5 linked regions of the Rattus norvegicus genome follow. Each later gene encodes a partner of the first gene's protein in a complex. Links are inferred from orthologs where the notes say so. Each region holds a gene or a part of one and is shown in the gene's direction. Other genes may lie near its edges.

Region 1 (3,476 bases):
CAAGTTTGAAAATTTTAAATGTTTTAAATGTTCTTATTGGCAAAGCTCCTCAACAAAATAAATAGGTGTTACAAATTTTGCTTTAAATTTTTGCTTCAGTGATTTTTTTTTTTGTAAATTATTTGTAAATTTACATTTTATTTTCCCCTTCTTGGCTACACCAAAGCAGCATTCAGGTTTTAATTTCAACTGTCAGACATTCACAAACATCTAGCTTCTGTGAACCTGGGTGTTCGTTCTTTCCGTCAGTTTCCCATTCCTTTTTTGCTCAGTGTATACCCCCTTTGACCACACTAACTGTCCTCCTTTTCAACTAATTATGGGATGCTGGTGTTCATTGTTCCATCCGTAGGTTTTTACTCATATTTTATTAACATCCCTTGATAGATCACTGACATCTCAAATGTAAGATACCTCATTACTTCATCTCCCTCCAGCCCAGACCTAAACTATTTCATCTCTTAGTCTGTGATATAATGCCTCTTTCAAACAAGCCAGAAACCTGTAACTCTTAATTTTCATTTTTTTTCACCTCCCTACTAACTTCAACAAGTTTTACTGACTACTTCTCCAGATATGTCTTTATCAGCTAGCGTGGTGATGCTCACCTTTAATCCCAGCACTTAGGAGGCAGAGACCAGGCAAGCCTCTCTGAGTCCATCCTGGTCTATACAAAGAGTTCCAGGCATGCCAGGCCTACGTGAGACCATGTCTCGAAAATACACAAACGTGCGTGCACGCGCGCGCGCGCGCGCGCGCACGCACACACACACACACACACACACACACACACACACACTACTGCATTATCTTTGAGCCCATGTCCTTTTTCCTCTAAACTGCAGGAAGTACTTGGGTAGGGGAGAGCCTTCCAAAGCCCCTCAGCATCCTTGACCATGGGTAAGTCATCTTCTAAACCAAACAGTATATTTATTTGTGCAAACCCTTCAAAGATTACTGGGTAAAAGTCAGGGACATTGAAACCTGCCTTCAAAATTGGGAAATAAACATTGCTAATGTCTGACACTTGGAATTAAGCAGCTGATGTTAGTTCCCTACTTCCTTGCACTCCACCTACGTGTATCTGGGAAACAACCATACAGTATTAAAATTGTCTGCCTTCCTTTTCCAGAGCTTGGTGCTAGTGAACTAGAATCTGATTCTTAACTTTGTATTCCTAGGTCCCAACCCTGTAGTTGGCAAATAGAAATTAAATAAATGACTGTTGAATTGCTAATGTGCTTCACATGTGACTTTGGCATGTTATTTCTTCGGGGTGAAACACCTATCTCTACATTTACAGCAGCACGCTTCTAGGACCGTTGTGGGTGGGAGGGACACACACCAAATCCACTAAAATCCTTAAAGACAGTGAAAGGGAGCGACAAAGAATGAAGACTGTTAAGGAGACTGGTAATGAAGTATCTGACATATGAGTCCCCAAGTCAAATCTGCGCACCCAGATGAAATGAAGTGTGCAGTCCTGGATTCTTCGCGGTCCCATCTGGGCAGGGTTGAGCCGCAGGGTGGAGGCTAGGTCTTTCACAGTTTACCTCTGCCAGTCTACACCTAATCTGCCAACAGCCAACCTAAGGTCGCCCGCGGCGGACTAAAGCGGTGGGGCGGGAACTGTGACGTCACGCAACGTGCGCCTGGGCGAGCGGAAGCGGAAGTAGCTCTGGTTGCCGCCTTTCCCACCAGCCCCATGAGCTGCAGCGGCTCCGGCGCGGACCCCGAGGCGGCGCCAGCCTGTGCCGCCTCGGTCGCGGGTCCGGCGCCCCCGGTGTCCGCTCCCGCTGCGCTGCCCACTAGCACGGCCGCGGAGAGCAAAGCCAGCCCCGCGGGGACAGCAGGGGGCCCTGGAGCTGGAGTCGCCACTGCAGGCACGGGCCCCGTGGCGGCACGGGCAGGGGAGCCCGCGGAGCGGCGCGGACCGGGTGAGCTCCGGGCCGGGTGAGGGAGGGGGGAATCTCCGACTGGGTGCCGCAGCGGGGGTTGGGGGGACCCTGCGCTTCTCACCTGTGTTGTTGATTCTCCTTCAGCTTCGGTGGCAGCAGGCGGCGCGGCTCCCCCTGAGGGGGCAATGTCTAACGGGGTTTACGCCCTACCGAGCGCGGCCAACGGAGAAGTGAAGCCCGTAGTGTCCAGCACACCACTAGTGGACTTCTTGATGCAGTTGGAGGATTATACACCTACGGTGGGCTTCCCGCCTGTACAAGGCCACCTGCCTCGCTGTCGTGCCTTTCAACCGCACCTTCATGCTTTCAAGCGTCCTCTACTAGGAAGCTGTCTCTTTATTCTTCCTCCCCACCCAGCGCATCAGTAGGCAGAGCTAATAATGACGGCTATTTGATTTTTCAGATCCCGGATGCAGTGACTGGTTACTACCTGAACCGTGCTGGCTTTGAAGCTTCAGACCCACGCATGTGAGTAAACTCAGAGGTTAGACTGTTGAGTGCTGGGTGGAGTTTGTTAAATATCTCATTACCACCACCCCCTTCCTCTCTAGAATTCGGCTCATCTCACTAGCTGCCCAGAAATTCATCTCAGATATTGCCAATGATGCCCTACAGCACTGCAAAATGAAGGGTACAGCCTCTGGCAGCTCCCGGAGCAAGAGCAAGGTGTGAGAGGTTCGCCTTCCACAGCAGTACAGACTTAACTTATCCTGAAAGCCTTTTGGGGAAGCAGCATCCTAGGGGAGGTATTGGGCCTACTCAGGGTTACCCACAAAGGACTGGAATCTGGACTTGCTGTGCTCAGCTGGTGGTCTTCCCTCTTTCCCCCAGGATCGCAAGTACACCCTAACCATGGAGGACTTGACCCCTGCCCTCAGCGAGTATGGCATCAATGTGAAGAAGCCGCACTACTTCACCTGAGCCACCCAACCCAGATGTATTTGTCTTCCCCTCTGTCCCCACATGAGCCTGTTTTCATAATAAACTTTATTGTGACAGGCGGGGCTGATCCCTCCCATGTTGGGAGACATCAAGTGGCAAGTGACAAAGCTCTGAGCCCAGCCCTCTCTGGGGCTACAGTGGTAGGGATGGGAGCAGGGAACAAGCCCCATAACTGGGGTAGTACCATGATTAGAGACAGGGGAGGCAACCAGAGATCTTCAGCTTCGGGGAAGTGCATTCCCCCAGCCATATGCTGATACTTCTGAAGTTTGGGCAGGGACCTTCAAGTCCTACTTGTCCTGCATCTTCTCCAAGATAGGTACAATCATGTCAAACTTGGGTCGCTTTGCAGGGTCTTCATTCATGCAAATCTTCATGAGCTTACACACGTGGGGGGAAATACCTGGTGGGATAGTAGGCCGAAGGCCTTCCAGTGCCACCTGCAAATTATACAGAACAAGGTGAGCTTCTGAATTTGAGTTCATCATATGGGCAAAAGCCTTTGACCCTTGAATGGTAGGATTACTATAGATCTGTATACACTGCAGGAAGGGCTTACCACAGTGATGTCAGCAC
Region 2 (3,710 bases), on another chromosome or scaffold:
GAACAGTTGGATCAGATTGAAAAGCAGAGGAAAGATGAGCAGGAGAGGGAGATCTTGATGCGGGCAGCAAAGGCAAGTTAAACCCCATCTGCAGCTCAGGCTCAGCTTGCTGCCCCCTCCTAGCTGCTCACCAGGCACTGGCTTGTGCTCACCGCCATTTCTGGCAAGTGTGGAAAGAAGGGTGTTGTGAGTGAAGCTGGATAGGTGAGGCAGAAGCCTGGCTCCAGTTAGAGATTGGTAGAAGAGATGTAGCTCTCATTTTGTTAGTTAATTAATTAATTTTAAAAATGTTTTGCTTTATTTTTGAAATAAGGACTCATTATGTAGCTCTGGCTGTCCTGGAACTCACTGTAGACCAGGCTGGCCTTGAACTTACAGAGATCTTCCTGCCTCTGCCTTCTGAGTGTTGGGATTAAAGGTGTGTAACACTATGGTATGGGCTTAAATCTTAGAATTCTGACCTCTTCCCTTCCCTGTGGGTTCATATAGCCTTTCAGTCTAGAGCATTCAGAGCTAAGTATAGGAACTTTATGATTAGAGTCATCCAGAAATGTTAATTCCAGTGTCAGCTTTTTGTGCAGTAGGAGGAGTGGTAGCTGAATGCCAGCCTCACTAGCTGCTGAGCCCAACACGACTGGGAGCTCTGTCCCAGCTCTTTCCCAGTCTACATTGAGTCAGAGGCATATGACAAACTGGTAGCCATATGTCTAAGACTCTCTCACTGCGTCTGGATGGTATCAAAGACATTTTTTTCATGGCCCATTATTACCTAAATTTTTGTCATTTGGATGTAAACATGTATAGAATTTGCAGGAACTCTGTCATCTGGCTAAATGCTGCTGTAGATGGACAGGGTACTGTGGGTTCAGTAATGTTCATGGAAGGCATGACTCTTGTTTTTTCCTTCTTTCAAAAATAGTCTCGATCCAGACAAGAAGACCCAGAGCAATTAAGGTTGAAGCAGAAAGCAAAGGAGGTGAGTTTCTCTGTTTGGCCTCTACTGCACTTGCAGTTCGTGGTCATGCTTGGTGCCCACATAAAAGACAATACTTAGAAACCTGGCGTTTGGGGCTGGGGATTTAGCTCAGTGATAGAGCGCTTACCTAGGAAGCGCAAGGCCCTGGGTTCGGTCCCCAGCTCCGAAAAAAAAAGAACCAAAAAAAAAAAAAAAAAAAAAGAAACCTGGCGTTTGCCAGTGTGGGCATCCATTGCTCCTTTGTCCTCTTGGGGGACCCATCAGCCCAGGCTCTTTCTGTGCTGTCTGCATTTGGCTGGAGAGTACCTGTCCCTCTCTGTGAGATTAGGCTCCCTAAACCCCTTCTAATTGTCTGAGCATTTTAAGGTAAGCTTCTGTTTAAAAAGTCTTGTAAATATTTTTGGTTACAGACATGTCCTTAGTTTTAAAAGCCTCAACTCTAAAGAAGTTATGACTTAGGAAACTTGAGAAAATTCTTGGTAGCTGTTGCTACATTTGCAGTAAGACTCTCGAAGCAATGAGTTTTGTTTCCTTCCCAATGAAGATGCAGCAGCAGGAGCTGGCACAGATGCGACAGCGAGATGCCAACCTCACTGCACTGGCAGCCATCGGGCCCAGGAAGAAGAGGAAGGTGGACTGCGCTGGGCCAGGATCGGGAGCAGAGGTATAGCAGAACACGAGGCCGAGGTCTGGAGGGTGTGGGGAGTGCCTTCCTTCAGTAGGCAGGGGAGTTCCTGGCCTTCCGTAAAGGTGTGGTCTTGGTTGGACACTTGATTTTCAAGTAGCCTTTTTGTGCATATAACATGAGCTAAAACACATGGTCGGCTCTGCGTGGTTCAACCTGACGGAAACGCATGGGGTGGAATTCAGGATTGGCTCTGGTGGAGACAGTGTGAGGCCATCTGTAGGGTGTGTAACTGAGAGAAGTTCTCACCTGTTCACTGGGCCCAAAGTCTGAGTGTCTTATGTGCTGCCCTAATGCTTTATGCTTTAAACCATTGTCGTTTGCATTTAGAAGAGCAGTGGCAGACCTGCGTGTCCACTCAGTGGTCGTCACTGCTGCTGCTGAGGATGCTGGGTCCATGTGTCACTCGCATGTGCACTCTGCACTGGTTATAGAGTTCTAGGGTGCAGGTGCGTGTTGTCACTTTTCCTGTCCTTGCCTCTGTGTGGTAATCTGGTCTGACTGCTGACCGTTGGGGCCTTTCTTTAAGAGATTTTCCGTGTCTTAGGGTCAGTCTCTGGGCGGTCAACTTGTTTCTTCCATTTCCTGAGCTGCTTAGACTCACATGTGAGACTGCCTCAGTGTACATTTGCACCACATTGGCCATTGTTTTCTTCAGGTGTGCTCTGTTCCCATTTCTCTTCCTCTTGGTCCCCAGTCACACATGCACTGGACCGTGCTGTGGTCCCAGTCACACATGCACTGGACTGTGGTACTGCTCGTGTTCATTGCATCACCGATTTCCTCTGTGCCCTTCAGACTGGGTCCTGTTCCTCGGCCAGATTGGAGTTGTGCCAGCTCCTGTTGGCTGTTGAGCTCCAGTGCAGTTCCCATTTACAAAACGTTGATTTTAGTTGAGCGTGCCTAGAGCAGTGGGTCTCCACCTGTGGTCAAGACCCCTGTGGGGTTGCATATCAGATACCCTGCATGTCAGCTGTTTACATTAGGATTCATAGCAGTAGCAAAGGTACAGTTATGAAGTCACACTGAAATAATTTTATGGCTGGGGTCACCACAGCATGAGGAATGTTCTATCTATAGGCTATGGATTTGCAAGCATCCCTCTAGTGAGTAGCAGACTTCCCCTGTCTGCCACTTTATGATGGCTATAACTCTCCTATGTTGTTGAACATATATATTGAAGCTTCCAGCCTCGGTTTCCCCTCACTGTTCTCCTTTCCCTGTTTCAGTGCATGTCTAGTGCCTATCACTGAATGCTGGGCATCTTTGATCAGATGTGATGAGGCCCCTGGGTGGTTTTCCACACTCTGAAGAATGTGGGCTGGACTTGTTTCAGTTTATTCTGTTCCTATGGCTCTGTGCAGACGTGGGGCATTTTTTTTTCTAGTCTAGTATAACACAGCACCCCTGTCTGTGTGTTTGTGTTTGGCTATTTTTTACATGAGTCTTAATGGAGAATGACCCTTCATCCTGGCGAAACTTAGCTAAAACCTTGGTTGAACTCTCGTGTTGCCACCAGGCCTCAGTCTATTTTGCCTTTATCCCCATAGAAACTGCTGTCTGTTTTGCTTGGGCAGTTCTGTCCTGCTGTGAAGCAAGCAGATTGGGTCAGCTTAGGGTAGTGGCTTCAGCAGGTCAGTGCTGTCCCTGCCAAGGACTGCTGACCCATCTCCAGCCCTGGAGCCAGCAGTGACTCCCTGTGCAGCAGTCTTTGGGTGTGGAGACTATACCCTAGAGGTACAGGGACATCCCTCTCAGTTCAGGGGTAGGTAAAACGTCTGAGTGTGGCATAGGAAGAAAATCTCAGCCAGAATCTTTATGTAGATGTGTTCTCTGAAAAGCTGCAGCAACTGGGTCTACTGTTCAAGTATACAGGCCTCCAAAACTCACACAGAAGTGAGGCCAAGAAGTGAGTAAAACCTTGGGTAGCAACTTCACACTTTGAAAAGGACACCAGGGGAGTTAGAAGATACCAATGAACTTTTTCTGCTGCGTGTTTTTGTAGCTTGCTGAATTATTGTAAGGTGTAAGCCCTTGTAACTTATCAGC
Region 3 (3,203 bases), about 86 Mb from region 1:
TCCAGCAAGCCGTATTTTCATGCTATTCAGGATTAACTTTTGGAGAAGATAATTCACAGCTGTAACTTGAAAATGTGAGAGGGGAATATTTCTCCCTCCAGGGTCTACACCGAGGGCCCTGCTTCCTGTTACTCTAAAGTCCCCTTTGAAGTAATTTTTGTTAGAAACTATGTGGTTGCCCAAATTATAGGAAAATGGTTTTCTGTTCATTAGGAGTGGGGAGGTGGGTATAAAAGAATAAGCGTTTATATGCTGGCTGGAGAAATGGCTCAGCAGTTGAGTTCTGACTGTTCTTCTAGAGGACCCAGGTTCAATTCCTGGCACATACATGGCCGCTCACAACTGACTGGAACTCTAGTTCCTTGGGATCTGGCGCCCTTACACAGACATGCATGTAGGCAAAACACCAATGCATATAAAATAAAAATAAATTTAAGTCAGACAGTTATCAGTGCACACCTTTAATCCCAGTACTTGGGAGTCAGAATCAGGTAGATCTTTGAATTTTGAGGCCAGCTTGGTCTAAGGGTAAGTTCCAGGATATCTAGGACTATACAGAAAAACCGTGTCTCAAAACAAACAAAATAAAACCAAAAAAGCTAATTTATATGCCTGTAATCCCAGCATTCGGGAACTGGGCATGCTGGCACGTCTTTAGCCCTAGCACTTGGAAGGCTGAGGTAGGGGGATCTCTTGAGTTCAAGGCTAGTCAGAGTGAATTCTACATAGTGAATTCCAGGACAGCTACAAAGTGAGACCCTGTCTCAAACTAAATAGGAGAGTGAGTTCACAGCCAGCTTGGGCTATACCAGACATTATCTCAAAAAAGAAAACATTAGTCCCACTTACTCTTTCCTTCCATTAGATAACAAGGAGGAACCATTTGGAATTGACTCTCACCTGATACACCTCTATTTTGGGTTACATATTATTATTTAAATTAATATTTTTATTTTCAGGCTTTGGGCTACAGATCACTATCAGCCTTTAAGGATATTCGCTGGCCATCTTGCTGATGTGAATTGCACTAGATTTCATCCAAATTCCAACTATGTTGCTACGGGCTCTGCAGACAGAACCGTGCGGCTCTGGGACGTCCTCAATGGTAACTGTGTAAGGATCTTCACTGGACACAAGGTATTTCACACCCTCATTATTCCAGCACACAACGATGCTTTCCAAGTTGAAATATTTAACCAGTAGCATAAACTCTTTAAAGATAACAGTCATGCTATTAAACTACAATTCTACCTTGCTCTTATCAGATACTTAATTCTCCTTTGTTCTTTTTTTTAGGGACCAATTCATTCCTTGACATTTTCTCCCAATGGGAGATTCCTGGCTACAGGAGCAACAGATGGCAGAGTACTTCTTTGGGATATCGGACATGGCTTGATGGTTGGAGAATTAAAAGGCCACACTGATACAGTGTGTTCACTTAGGTTTAGTAGAGATGGTGAGATTTTGGCATCAGGTAAATAATGTCTTTGGGGTAAAACAAAACTCGGTGAACACAAAGTATCGTGAGACTCCTGATGTGACAGCTGCACACTAATGGTTTCCTTTGGCGTCTCTTTTAGGTTCGATGGATAACACAGTTCGGTTATGGGATGCCATCAAAGCATTTGAAGATTTAGAAACTGATGACTTTACTACAGCCACTGGGCATATAAATCTACCTGAGAATTCCCAGGAGTTACTGTTGGGTACATACATGACCAAATCAACACCAGTCGTACACCTACATTTTACAAGAAGAAACTTGGTTCTAGCTGCAGGAGCTTACAGTCCGCAATAAACCAACGGTATTAGAGACCTTTTGGAAGCTACTGTTTGGAAAAGGGAGACTAAAAGCAAATACCTCAGTGATTAGTATTTAAGCTACAAAGAATGTTTTTGTCTACATGGATCTGGAAGTATGCTGCTTGGAAAATCTGAACAGGACAGTTCCACGTTTCTATAGCAACCACATTTAACTAATTTCCGTTAGTTGAATAAGAGGTATTATGTTCGTGGAGAGGACATTATGGTGCTTTGGATTGTGTGGAAACTATGCATTTTTTTGTTCAAATGCTATTTTAATTTATTATGTCTAGAAAAAAAATCAATTTGATTTAAACAATTCATTCTGCTTCAAGATTCAAGTTAAGAAATATAGTACCATCTTGAGTAGCTGAAGAGTTCTATGAGCATGTGTGTGTCTGCTGTAAATGACGTTATTGTACGGCACTCAAGCAGTGTGTTAAATGACCACTAACATGCTTTTCTTCGCCCGTGATTAGCGGGCTGTATGTAACTGGGTAGGAGATCACATTTCCTAAGACCTAGATGTATAACCACCCACAACATCTCAGCTCCTACTGTGTAAGTTTGGAGTGCAATCAAACACTTAGAAAACAGGTGAAGAGGTTTAGATTCCATTCTACTTCAGCTAACGTGGCTACATATGACCTAGTACACTTGAAGTCAGACAGACATTTCAGTTGCTTACCTCCAGTACTGAGCCTTGCTTTGGAAAACTAAGAGATTTAGACCAAGTCACTGCCAGTTTTTGCCTTTGTTGCATTTTGTACAGTTTTATATTTTTGATATCTTGTAAATAAAGACAACCAGCTTTTCCAGGTTCATAATTTATTGTACAAATTGAGTATTACATGATGAGTTCACATCAGCTTCTTCAGGCGTGGGACTTAACAGATAAGGCCAGACATTTCAAAATCCTATAAACAAAGCAAAAACAGTTTGACACACAACGTTGTACTCTATTTTTCAACAATCAGTAATTACCACAAGTCTCTGAAGTAAAGTGTACATTCACTAAGGTTCGTAAGTAGGGCATATATAATATATGTGTGTGTTTGTATGTGCATACGCATCTCCCTCAGGCTGGTAGTTTGATGTTCCAGTTTTAACAGTTTTAAGTAGTTGTTGAAACTGCCAACAATTCAGTATAGCTTTAAAAGCAAACTACTGGAAAAAAATTACTACTGGAAAAAAATTGAGTATACAGAGTAACACTTAAATGTTTGTTAATTTTATGTGTTCTGCCTGCACGTGTGTATGTGCTACTTGTGCGCTTGGTGCCTAATGACATCAGAAAAGGGTTGTCAGATCCCCTAGAATGAGTGTGAACCAACATGGGTGCTGGCGACTGCATCCTAATCTATACAAGAGCAACAGGTGCTCTCAGCCTCTGAGCTGTC
Region 4 (4,375 bases), on another chromosome or scaffold:
AATCTCTACTAGCACAGTCCTCTGTTAGCAACATGTGAGTGCAAGTCTTCAGTCTTCTGGCCCAAAATCAACTGACAGACTCTAGAAATGCAGATTTTTGAAGGGCCGATCACCCTGTCTTGGCAGAGCTTATCAGTCAACTATTCTGCATAATTTGTCCTTTTCTGGACAATATTAGTCTGCAGATGAAACAGGCAGCTTTGTGTAGTGGCTGCCTAGCCACAAAGTATTGCCTTACCTGAACAAATTCTTCATTAAATCTGCCAAAGGGGAACTGTTAGGAGCAGCTACGTCTCAACAAAAGATAAATAACTTTAAGTCTCAAATTTTGTGGATTTCTGACGTTTTTGAAGACCATCCATCTATATAAGACAATCTGGACTGTTGTTTTCATATCTTAATATTTTTTTTTTGGTTCTTTTTTTTCGGAGCTGGGGACCGAACCCAGGGCCTTGCGCTTCCTAGGTAAGCGCTCTACCACTGAGCTAAATCCCCAGCCCCTTCATATCTTAATATTATCTTGAAAGTGCTCTCACAAAGTCAGAGCCATGAATGTGCTATTTGGCCCTTAACTCACATATGTAATCAACTCAGAAGTTTGTATTGACATAATTAGAAGGACTGGCTCTAAACCTTGTACTTTTAAACTTTTTTGACAAATAAATTCTATACCAAAACAAAGATATGATTTTAGCTTAGTTACCAAATGAGATAATGACTCTACAACTCAATCTAGCTAATTCCTCCCTGTTAAATTACAACCATTTCTAAGTTCCTCATAAAAACAACTTTAGAATAACTGCTTTCAGCCCCCCAAAAGTCCAGGGAATTGGGGCGACGACTCCTCCATAACTTCCTCAAGCTGTACATGGGCGTTGAGCTATCCTTGGGGGTAGGAGGCAGGAAGAATGAAGCAAATGCTGAGCAGATGTGTCCTGACTGGACCCAGCCGAAAGTCCTTGAGACCAGGAATCCAAGGAGGCACACAATACAACAATCAAGACAAAATATAACCATAATATATATAACCATAAAACTCAAGGTCACGGGCTGGAGAGATGGCTCAGTGGTTAAGAGCCCCGACTGCTCTTCCAGAGGTCCTGAGTTCAATTCCCAGCAACCAAATGTAGACACCCCATCTCTGACTTCCTCACCAGCGGTGCCTAGGTATCCAGAGAGGAAACTGGGAACCACACCATTCAACCCAGACCCCTCTGTTCCCATTCTAGTTCTGTGGGTAGCAGTGCCTGACATCATCCAGAAGGGAAACATTCACTGTGGACCCCCTGTTCTGGCTTTTGTTATGCCGCTCAGGGCTGGCATGATGGTGGCTGCTAGACACCTCCAGCAGAGGCAGAATGCAGTATGACATCAGAGCAATGTGAGTTCTTTATTTTTTATTTAAAAAGACAGCCAAGAGCTGGAGAGATGGCTCAGTGGTTAAGAGCACTGACTGTTCTTCCTAGCAACCACATGGTGGCTCACAGCCATCTGTAATAGGATTTGATGCCCTCTTCTGGTGTGTCTGAAGATAGCTACACTGTATTCATATACATAAAATAAACACATTAATTTTAAAAAAAGTCAGCCAAATCTTTATTGGGAAATGGGTCCCTAGGAAGTGAGCCTGGGGCCCTCGTTGCACATCTTGTTCCTTAGCACTGTTCCAAGAATTCCTTTTTTTTTTTCTTTCTTTCTTTTTTTCAGAGCTGGGGACCGAATCCAGGGCCTTGCGCTTGCTAGGCAAGCGCTCTACCACTGAGCTAAATCCCCAACCCCTGTTCCAAGAATTCTTTTTTTTTTTGGGGGGGGGGTTCTTTTTTTTTCGGAGCTGGGGACCGAACCCAGGGCCTTGCACTTCCTAGGCAAGCGCTCTACCACTGAGCTAAATCCCCAACCCCCCAAGAATTCTTCATCGCGTCTCGTGTTGTGGAGAACTAGAAAAGGTGTAAATATTGCAGGCCTTCAAAGGCATCGTCTGCTCTGAAAGCCAGGTCCACTGTGACTGAGGGCCTGTGGCTTTGCTACCTGTTTAGTGAACCATGTGCTCGACTCCTTGGCCTCAATGAAGTTGGTGGTCTTCTTGTGCCGGATCATGAGAAACACTTCCATCCCTGTGACTGACTGCTTCTGACTTGATGCACCAGACCTGAGCAGTGTCAACAACAGGCATTAAATATTTTAATTGTGTGCAGTGCAGACCTGGCGCAGACGCGGTCCACGCCCAGCGAAACCGCCCATTCGACAGCTGGGGAAGAACGAAGTGGGCACACTTGTAGGAGCTTCCCGAAGTGCTCGCCTTCCCAAAGATTTGGGAACCTCATGGGACTGGAAATGATCCTCATTGGTCCAGGCACTGTAGAAACAAAAGAAATGTGGGAACGGGATACTAGCTCTGTTCTGACGGGAGGCAGGTAGCCAATAGTTGAAGCATTGAATGAAATCGTTGGATATATTCTATTGGCACTAGAGATGCTTGCGGTACAGAAGAGAAGCCCAAGCAGTTCCCTGGTGGACCCAAGCCGCGGATCTCAGTTCTTTGGAAAATACGAGGTTGAGTCTCTGCCGGAAATTGCTCAGTCCAAGGCAGCAACAAGCAGCCGGACGGAGTTTTCGCCCCGTTCCGGACTTTGCGCTCAAGTTAACGGATTAATTGGCATTACATTTCCAGGAAGGAAGGAAAAAAAGAAGTCTCTCGGTAAACGAATTGTACGCCCTTTCGAACACGCTTCTACCCTAAAGCGGAGGATCTATACTTTTACATTTCTTTCTGGTTAAAACAAAGTCAGTATACAAGAAGACCCTGAGCGATCGAGACTCTGAAAATGACCCCTCCCAGGAGCCGTGGGCGTGACGTCATCGCGGCGCGACCACAAGCAATAAGGACCAGCTCCAAGCCATAAGCCTCAGCTATAATATAAGTCCCGCGGCAAAACTCGCTGACCCTCACTCCTTCGCCCGGCCGCGCTGCCTTCGCCTCTAACCCCCTCCTGTCGCGATGGAAAACCTTGGAGAGTCGCCCACGGACAAAGGCGGGGAGTCAGAGGAGTCGAGGGCTACTCCTGGGAACCCGTTAGCGGCAGACACTGAGGGAATCCCTGAGGAAACCGATAGGGATGGAGACGTGGACTTGAAAGAAGCCGCGGCAGAGGAAAGGGAGACCAAGAGTCAGGATGTCTCAGGTTTGACAGCAGTTGAGAGGGAAGACTCATTTCTTACTCCTGCAGCCAAAAAGCTGAAACTAGAAACCAAAGACAAGAAGGAGAAGAAGCAGAAGGTGGACGAAGATGAGATTCAGAAGATGCAAATCCTGGTCTCTTCTTTTTCTGAAGAGCAGCTGAACCGTTATGAAATGTATCGCCGGTCAGCTTTCCCGAAGGCAGCCATTAAAAGGCTGATCCAGTCCATCACTGGCACCTCTGTGTCTCAGAATGTTGTGATCGCCATGTCTGGCATTTCTAAAGTTTTTGTCGGGGAGGTGGTAGAAGAAGCCCTGGATGTGTGTGAGAAATGGGGAGAAATGCCACCCCTGCAGCCCAAGCACATGAGGGAGGCCGTGCGGAGGTTGAAGTCCAAGGGGCAAATCCCCAGCTCAAAGCACAAGAAAATCACCTTCTTCTAGATCTAACAGAGACTGTTCAAGACTTTCCGTATAGTTGGGCTTCTGTACTGAGGCTTTGTTGGTGGTGAGCCCAGGACACTTGATGCTGACTTTAATGTTTCTGTTACACCTACAAGGCACGTAGTGTGCCTCAGACTTGCCTTCACTCAGTCATAGACTGTCCTCAGGCATGTTGAAGAATTTCACAGACTCTTGGCTATTTTTAAGAAAAAATACACAGGGACTGTTAGTATCTCCTGGAGAGGGAGATGATTTCAGAGAAAAACAAGACAACTACAGTTTCACATTGAAGCCTAAAGTGGCTAAGATTCAGGTTGTTTCGAAACAAACTTTCTCAATAATCTGCTGTGAAGACAGTCACACCATAATTCGATTCTCACCGTTAACATTTCAGGTTGTCCTGTGTATTTTGTGAGGGATTATTAAACTTTTCCAACCTGTGTGGGAAACTTTGTTTTATTTTGTTGCAGACAAAACTTATTGTCCTTCCAATAAAACTTGGATTTTTTTTCCTTGTTTAAAAATACAAAACAAAACTTTTAATTGCCCTGGGGCTGAGTTTCTCTGACCCTGACCCAGAATGGTTGAATTCAATTTGACATGCCCTGTAGGAGGCCCCTTAGGGGGTTAATCTGAATTCATTAGCCTACTACTGGGCTTTGCCACACCTTATGCCTACTGCAGAAGGCTGAGCTTTCTTTTGGATTACTTCTAGAAAAACAACAACAACGAAAAACATTGTGCCTACGAATG
Region 5 (4,308 bases), on another chromosome or scaffold:
GTCCACCCTCAGGAATGGCTGGCTATGAGATACTTTTCTGTCATTTGATATCTTTCCTCCAACCCTAAACTGGACTCTGGAGTCCACTCTGAAATTGTAGAAGAACCCCAGGCTGTTCCCTCTGCTCTGTGTCTGATCTACTCATTACATTGCTTTGTTATTCCCGGTTTCTGTTTTGGAGTTTGAGTTAAGAGGGTTGAATTTATCCACACTTCATAGTTTATAGCCCTGCTAGCATTGTCCATAGTCCTTTGCTTTTTATTTTTTCCTTTATGCCCTATTTCTACCTTTTCTGTGCTGCCAGCTTTCTAATGCATTTAATGTCTCTGCTGTTTTGTTTGTTGCTGACCTTGAACTCAGAGATTTTCCAGCCTCTGCCTCCCCAGGCAGGGATTAAAGACGTGTGCCATCACACTTAGCTCTTTGATAATTTTAAAATGTTTTACTTATTACTGTGTATGGAAGCCAGAGGACAGCCTTGTGGAATCTGTCTTCTTACCTTTCACTTTTTATATAGGCCCAGGGATTAAACCTGAATATTAGTCTTATTCCGTGAGAGCTTTCACTGACTGTACCATCTCTCCCGCACATCTTTTGTAATTAAAAAACCAAACCCAAACCCACCCCCCTCATAAAACCCAATGTACACACACACACACACACACACACACACACACACACACACACACACACACAAAATTACGGAGGCAGGAAAGATTGCTCTGCAGCTAAGAGCATTGGCTGCTTTTCCAAAGACTTGAGTTTGATTCCCAGCCCCTACATAGCGGTTCACAATCATCTAACTCTAGTTTCAGGGAATTAGTTGCTCTCTTCTGGCCTCTTTGGCGCTGCGAACACATGGTACACATGCGTGTCTGCAAAACACTCATATACATAAAGATTATATATATATTTTTAAAAAGTATATCTATGTGGGCTTGTGTACTTGAATGCATCAGCCCCAGAGGCAAAAATTCATCATATTCCCCTGGAGCTGGAATTACAGGCATTTGGGAGTCTCCATTAGTATGCACAAATTTATCATTTATGATTTCTGAGATATGGGCTCATGAAGCTTGAGTGGTCTCGAACTCTAAGCTCTCTTGCCTCGGCCAAGTGCACGGAATTTTTTCGGTATAGTACACCACGCCTGGCATCTTTGTAATTTTTAATCCCTTCTTCAGGATTCCACGCCTAAGTACGCGTCACTGATTTTCAGCCAATCTCAAGGCCGGGGTTAGGAGAATGAGAGTGCACACCCATCTGCGCAACTCCGGCCAGGCCGGAAGTGACGCACATATCTTATAAATCTTGCGAGCCGCCCTTGGGCGGGCTCAGAAGGCTGGCGGGCTGCTAGCATGGCAGATGAGGAGGAAGATCCCACCGTGAGTGAGCGCCCGTCACAGCCTGTTTCCTCACTCCCTCTGGCTCACTAGCGGAGGCAGAGTCTGACCCTCCTGAGCCTTAGGGAATCCCGCCGAGAGTTCGGGGTCTCCGCGGTGTTTTCCTCTTCCTTCGGTTTACCTTAGTCAGTGCGTGGGGCAGGAAGGGAAGGAAAAGTAGACAGGATCTCCTTTTGATCTGGATCTTCCTGACACTGAGAGTCTAGAGAGTCATAGGAGATCAAAGCAAATACTGCGGAACCAGCAGCCCATCTGCTAACAAAACTAGTGAAAATAGTGGAGAAAAGATGAACTAAAGTCAGGAAGTTTGAGATCCAGATTCTCCTTTGGAGTTATTTAACTTAAGGCATCGGTTTTCTTGTCGTGAGATAGGGTCAAGCCCAGTTAAGGAAAGTTTTTAGCCCTGTATTGACAGGTGCTTAGTAAATGTTGCTTCTGATGGCAGCAGAGAGTAGATTTTAAACTATCAGGTCTTTTACAGTAGTAGCATTGCTTAGCAGTATGACAACTAAATGGGCTAAAACCAAACCCAGAACCTGACGTCCATTTGAACTTCACACACACACACACCCCGGGTAGGGTTGTTAGTTAGGAGCCGTAATAAAAGACTTCTTGCACGACTTGAGAAGTGGAATAGGACATAAGAGCCCTCTGATGCTAAGTTTCTATGACTTTGTGCTGTTTGCCTTAGCTTACCACTTTTGAAAATGCAAAAGGGTCACTGGGCATGGTGGTGCACACTTTGAATCCCAGCACTCAGAAAAGGATCTCTGAGTTCCAGGCAGACGGGCACATACCTTGTCTCAAAAAAAAAAAAAAAAAAAAAGTCTAGAGATTTTGCTTTAGTGCATCTGGCTACCTACAGCAGTTAGACCCCTTTTTTGGCCTCTACGGGCATTTGCAGGCATAGTCAATGTAGGCACACACAATACATATAAATAATAAATGTCTTTCAAAAAAAGATGAAAAGGGCACTGGAGTGTAGCTCAGTGGTCAATTAACTGTTTAGAATCGTGAGCTCCTAGGTTCAATTCATAGCACTCAAAAGAGAGAGCAGGAGGAGACTCTGGAGAATATCACGTGCACTGCCATCATTTGACATTTCTGTATTTTTAAATTTCTAGTTTGAGGAGGAAAATGAAGAAATTGGAGGAGGAGCAGAAGGTGGCCAGGGGAAGAGAAAGAGACTTTTCTCTAAAGAACGTAAGTTGTACTTTCCAATGCTTTTATTACAGGTGGTGAGAGCTTTTAAACATGTCCTTGGAGAGTAGGTACATTGCTCTGCATATGTTTGCTTAGAGGGACAGTGTTCTCAGACTTGCCTGTAAGGTTGTTTTTATTCCTGTTTGTTTTTGCTTTTTTTTTAAAAAAAAATTATTTTATGTATATGAGTACCAGAAGAGGGCATCAATTCCATTACAGATGGCTGTGAGCCACCATGTGGTTGCTGGGAATTGAACTCAGGACCTCTGGAAGAGCAGTTAGTGCTCTTAACTGCTGAGCCATCTTTCTAGCTCCCCTTGTTTTTGCTTTCTTTTTTTTTAAAGATAGGCTCTGCATAGGCTTGGCTATATTGGTGCTCACTGTTTAGCCCAAGCTAGCTTTGGGTGGCGGTAGTCCTCCTGCCTTAGCCTCTCAAGTATTGGGATTGCCGGTGTGCCTCCTGTGGTTGGTATAAGTCTCTTTATCATGTATACTAATTCTCTCTTTGTGACGTAAAATAATGAATGTGATTCCCCCCCACCCACACATACACTTTGAGGTGGGTTTTTTTTATTTTATTTCTTTTAGTTTTTTTTTTTTCCTTTTCTTTTTTTTTTTTTCGGAGCTGGGGACCGAACCCAGGGCCTTGCGCTTGGTAGGCAAGCGCTCTACCACTGAGCTAAATCCCCAACCCCTCTTTTAGTTTTTTTTTAAGATTGATTGATTGATTATAATTACACTGTAACTGTCTTCAGACACACCAGAAGAGGGCACCAGATCTCATTACAGATGGTTGTGAGCTGCCATGTGGTTGCTGGAAATTGAACTCAGGATTCCTGGAAGAGCAGTCAGTGCTCTTAACCACTCAGCCATCTCTCCAGCCCTCTTTGAGGTTTTTGAGACAGGGTTTTTCTGTGTAGCTCTGGCTGTCTTAGAGCTCATTCTGCAGATCAGGCTAGTTTTGAACTCACAGAGAGATACATATGCCTCCACCTCTGCCTCTGCCTCCTAAGTGCTGGGATTGACACTGTGAACCACAGCCACCCAGCTGAGGCAGGGTTTTTATATCCCAGTATGGTTTCAACCTTGGTATGTAGATGAGTATGACCTTGAACTTCTCCTGTCTGTATCCCTCGTGCTACACATAGGCCCATATGTCATGATTCCCAGTTTGTTTAGCTAAGGATTGACCCTAGTTGTGTGTGTTAGGCTAGCACTCAGCTACTAACTGAGCTACATTCATTGCACCGCTGCCCCTCCCCCTTTCTGTTTTTTTGTTTGCTTTGTTTTTGTTGTTGTTTTTCCCTTTCTGTGTTTAGCAGGGTCTCATGTACCCTAGATTGGTCTTGTATTTATTACGTAGCTGGGGATGACTATGATGTTATATTCCTCTTGTGTCCACCTTTCAAACGATGTAAGTTGAGGCTTTGGACTAAGGCACTGATCAGGGCAAGAAAGTGAAGTCTGGGGTACTAACAGTGTCGTTAACCTTCCATCATACTCCTTAGGCAGACAAGTTAAATCCTTAGAGCAGCAGGGTGAGCTGTTTCCTCTTGTCATGCCAATACTAATTCCTGAGAATGCCCTCTCCATCCCCGTGCCCAGGGACCTTGTCTGAGCATTGAGAAGTGTAGCAGCATAGATTTATAAATGCCTGGATGCAGTGGGATCGAAAAATTCTAGAAAACTGCAAGGCAGCCTT

What was found.
Region 2: Taf10 (region 1) and Taf4 share a complex: the UniProt entries of both Homo sapiens proteins name them as parts of the TFIID basal transcription factor complex. The link is inferred for Rattus norvegicus from reciprocal best matches to the Homo sapiens genes TAF10 and TAF4.
Region 3: Taf10 (region 1) and Taf5 share a complex: the UniProt entries of both Homo sapiens proteins name them as parts of the TFIID basal transcription factor complex. The link is inferred for Rattus norvegicus from reciprocal best matches to the Homo sapiens genes TAF10 and TAF5.
Region 4: Taf10 (region 1) and Taf11l1 share a complex: the UniProt entries of both Homo sapiens proteins name them as parts of the TFIID basal transcription factor complex. The link is inferred for Rattus norvegicus from reciprocal best matches to the Homo sapiens genes TAF10 and TAF11.
Region 5: Taf10 (region 1) and Taf13 share a complex: the UniProt entries of both Homo sapiens proteins name them as parts of the TFIID basal transcription factor complex. The link is inferred for Rattus norvegicus from reciprocal best matches to the Homo sapiens genes TAF10 and TAF13.

What each region holds. Positions count from the first base shown.
Region 1 is NC_086019.1:169,506,423-169,509,898, reverse strand, and holds Taf10 (transcription initiation factor TFIID subunit 10), read left to right. Parts: upstream 1-1,690; 5' UTR 1,691-1,705; coding exon 1,706-1,937; intron 1,938-2,042; coding exon 2,043-2,197; intron 2,198-2,361; coding exon 2,362-2,426; intron 2,427-2,509; coding exon 2,510-2,624; coding exon of another isoform or gene 2,625-2,630; exon of another isoform or gene 2,631-2,633; intron 2,634-2,789; coding exon 2,790-2,879; 3' UTR 2,880-2,959; downstream 2,960-3,476. Other genes in the region: Ilk (integrin-linked protein kinase), read right to left, coding at 3,191-3,340. UniProt on the Homo sapiens protein: The TFIID basal transcription factor complex plays a major role in the initiation of RNA polymerase II (Pol II)-dependent transcription.
Region 2 is NC_086021.1:187,402,029-187,405,738, reverse strand, and holds part of Taf4 (transcription initiation factor TFIID subunit 4), read left to right. Parts: coding exon 1-72; intron 73-919; coding exon 920-976; intron 977-1,520; coding exon 1,521-1,640; intron 1,641-3,710. UniProt on the Homo sapiens protein: The TFIID basal transcription factor complex plays a major role in the initiation of RNA polymerase II (Pol II)-dependent transcription.
Region 3 is NC_086019.1:255,912,641-255,915,843, forward strand, and holds the end of Taf5 (transcription initiation factor TFIID subunit 5), read left to right. Parts: intron 1-959; coding exon 960-1,137; intron 1,138-1,296; coding exon 1,297-1,474; intron 1,475-1,580; coding exon 1,581-1,798; 3' UTR 1,799-2,619; downstream 2,620-3,203. UniProt on the Homo sapiens protein: The TFIID basal transcription factor complex plays a major role in the initiation of RNA polymerase II (Pol II)-dependent transcription.
Region 4 is NC_086028.1:74,278,257-74,282,631, reverse strand, and holds Taf11l1 (transcription initiation factor TFIID subunit 11-like), read left to right. Parts: upstream 1-1,573; 5' UTR 1,574-2,998; coding exon 2,999-3,622; 3' UTR 3,623-4,071; downstream 4,072-4,375. UniProt on the Homo sapiens protein: The TFIID basal transcription factor complex plays a major role in the initiation of RNA polymerase II (Pol II)-dependent transcription.
Region 5 is NC_086020.1:198,892,017-198,896,324, forward strand, and holds the start of Taf13 (transcription initiation factor TFIID subunit 13), read left to right. Parts: upstream 1-1,315; 5' UTR 1,316-1,358; coding exon 1,359-1,385; intron 1,386-2,527; coding exon 2,528-2,606; intron 2,607-4,308. UniProt on the Homo sapiens protein: The TFIID basal transcription factor complex plays a major role in the initiation of RNA polymerase II (Pol II)-dependent transcription.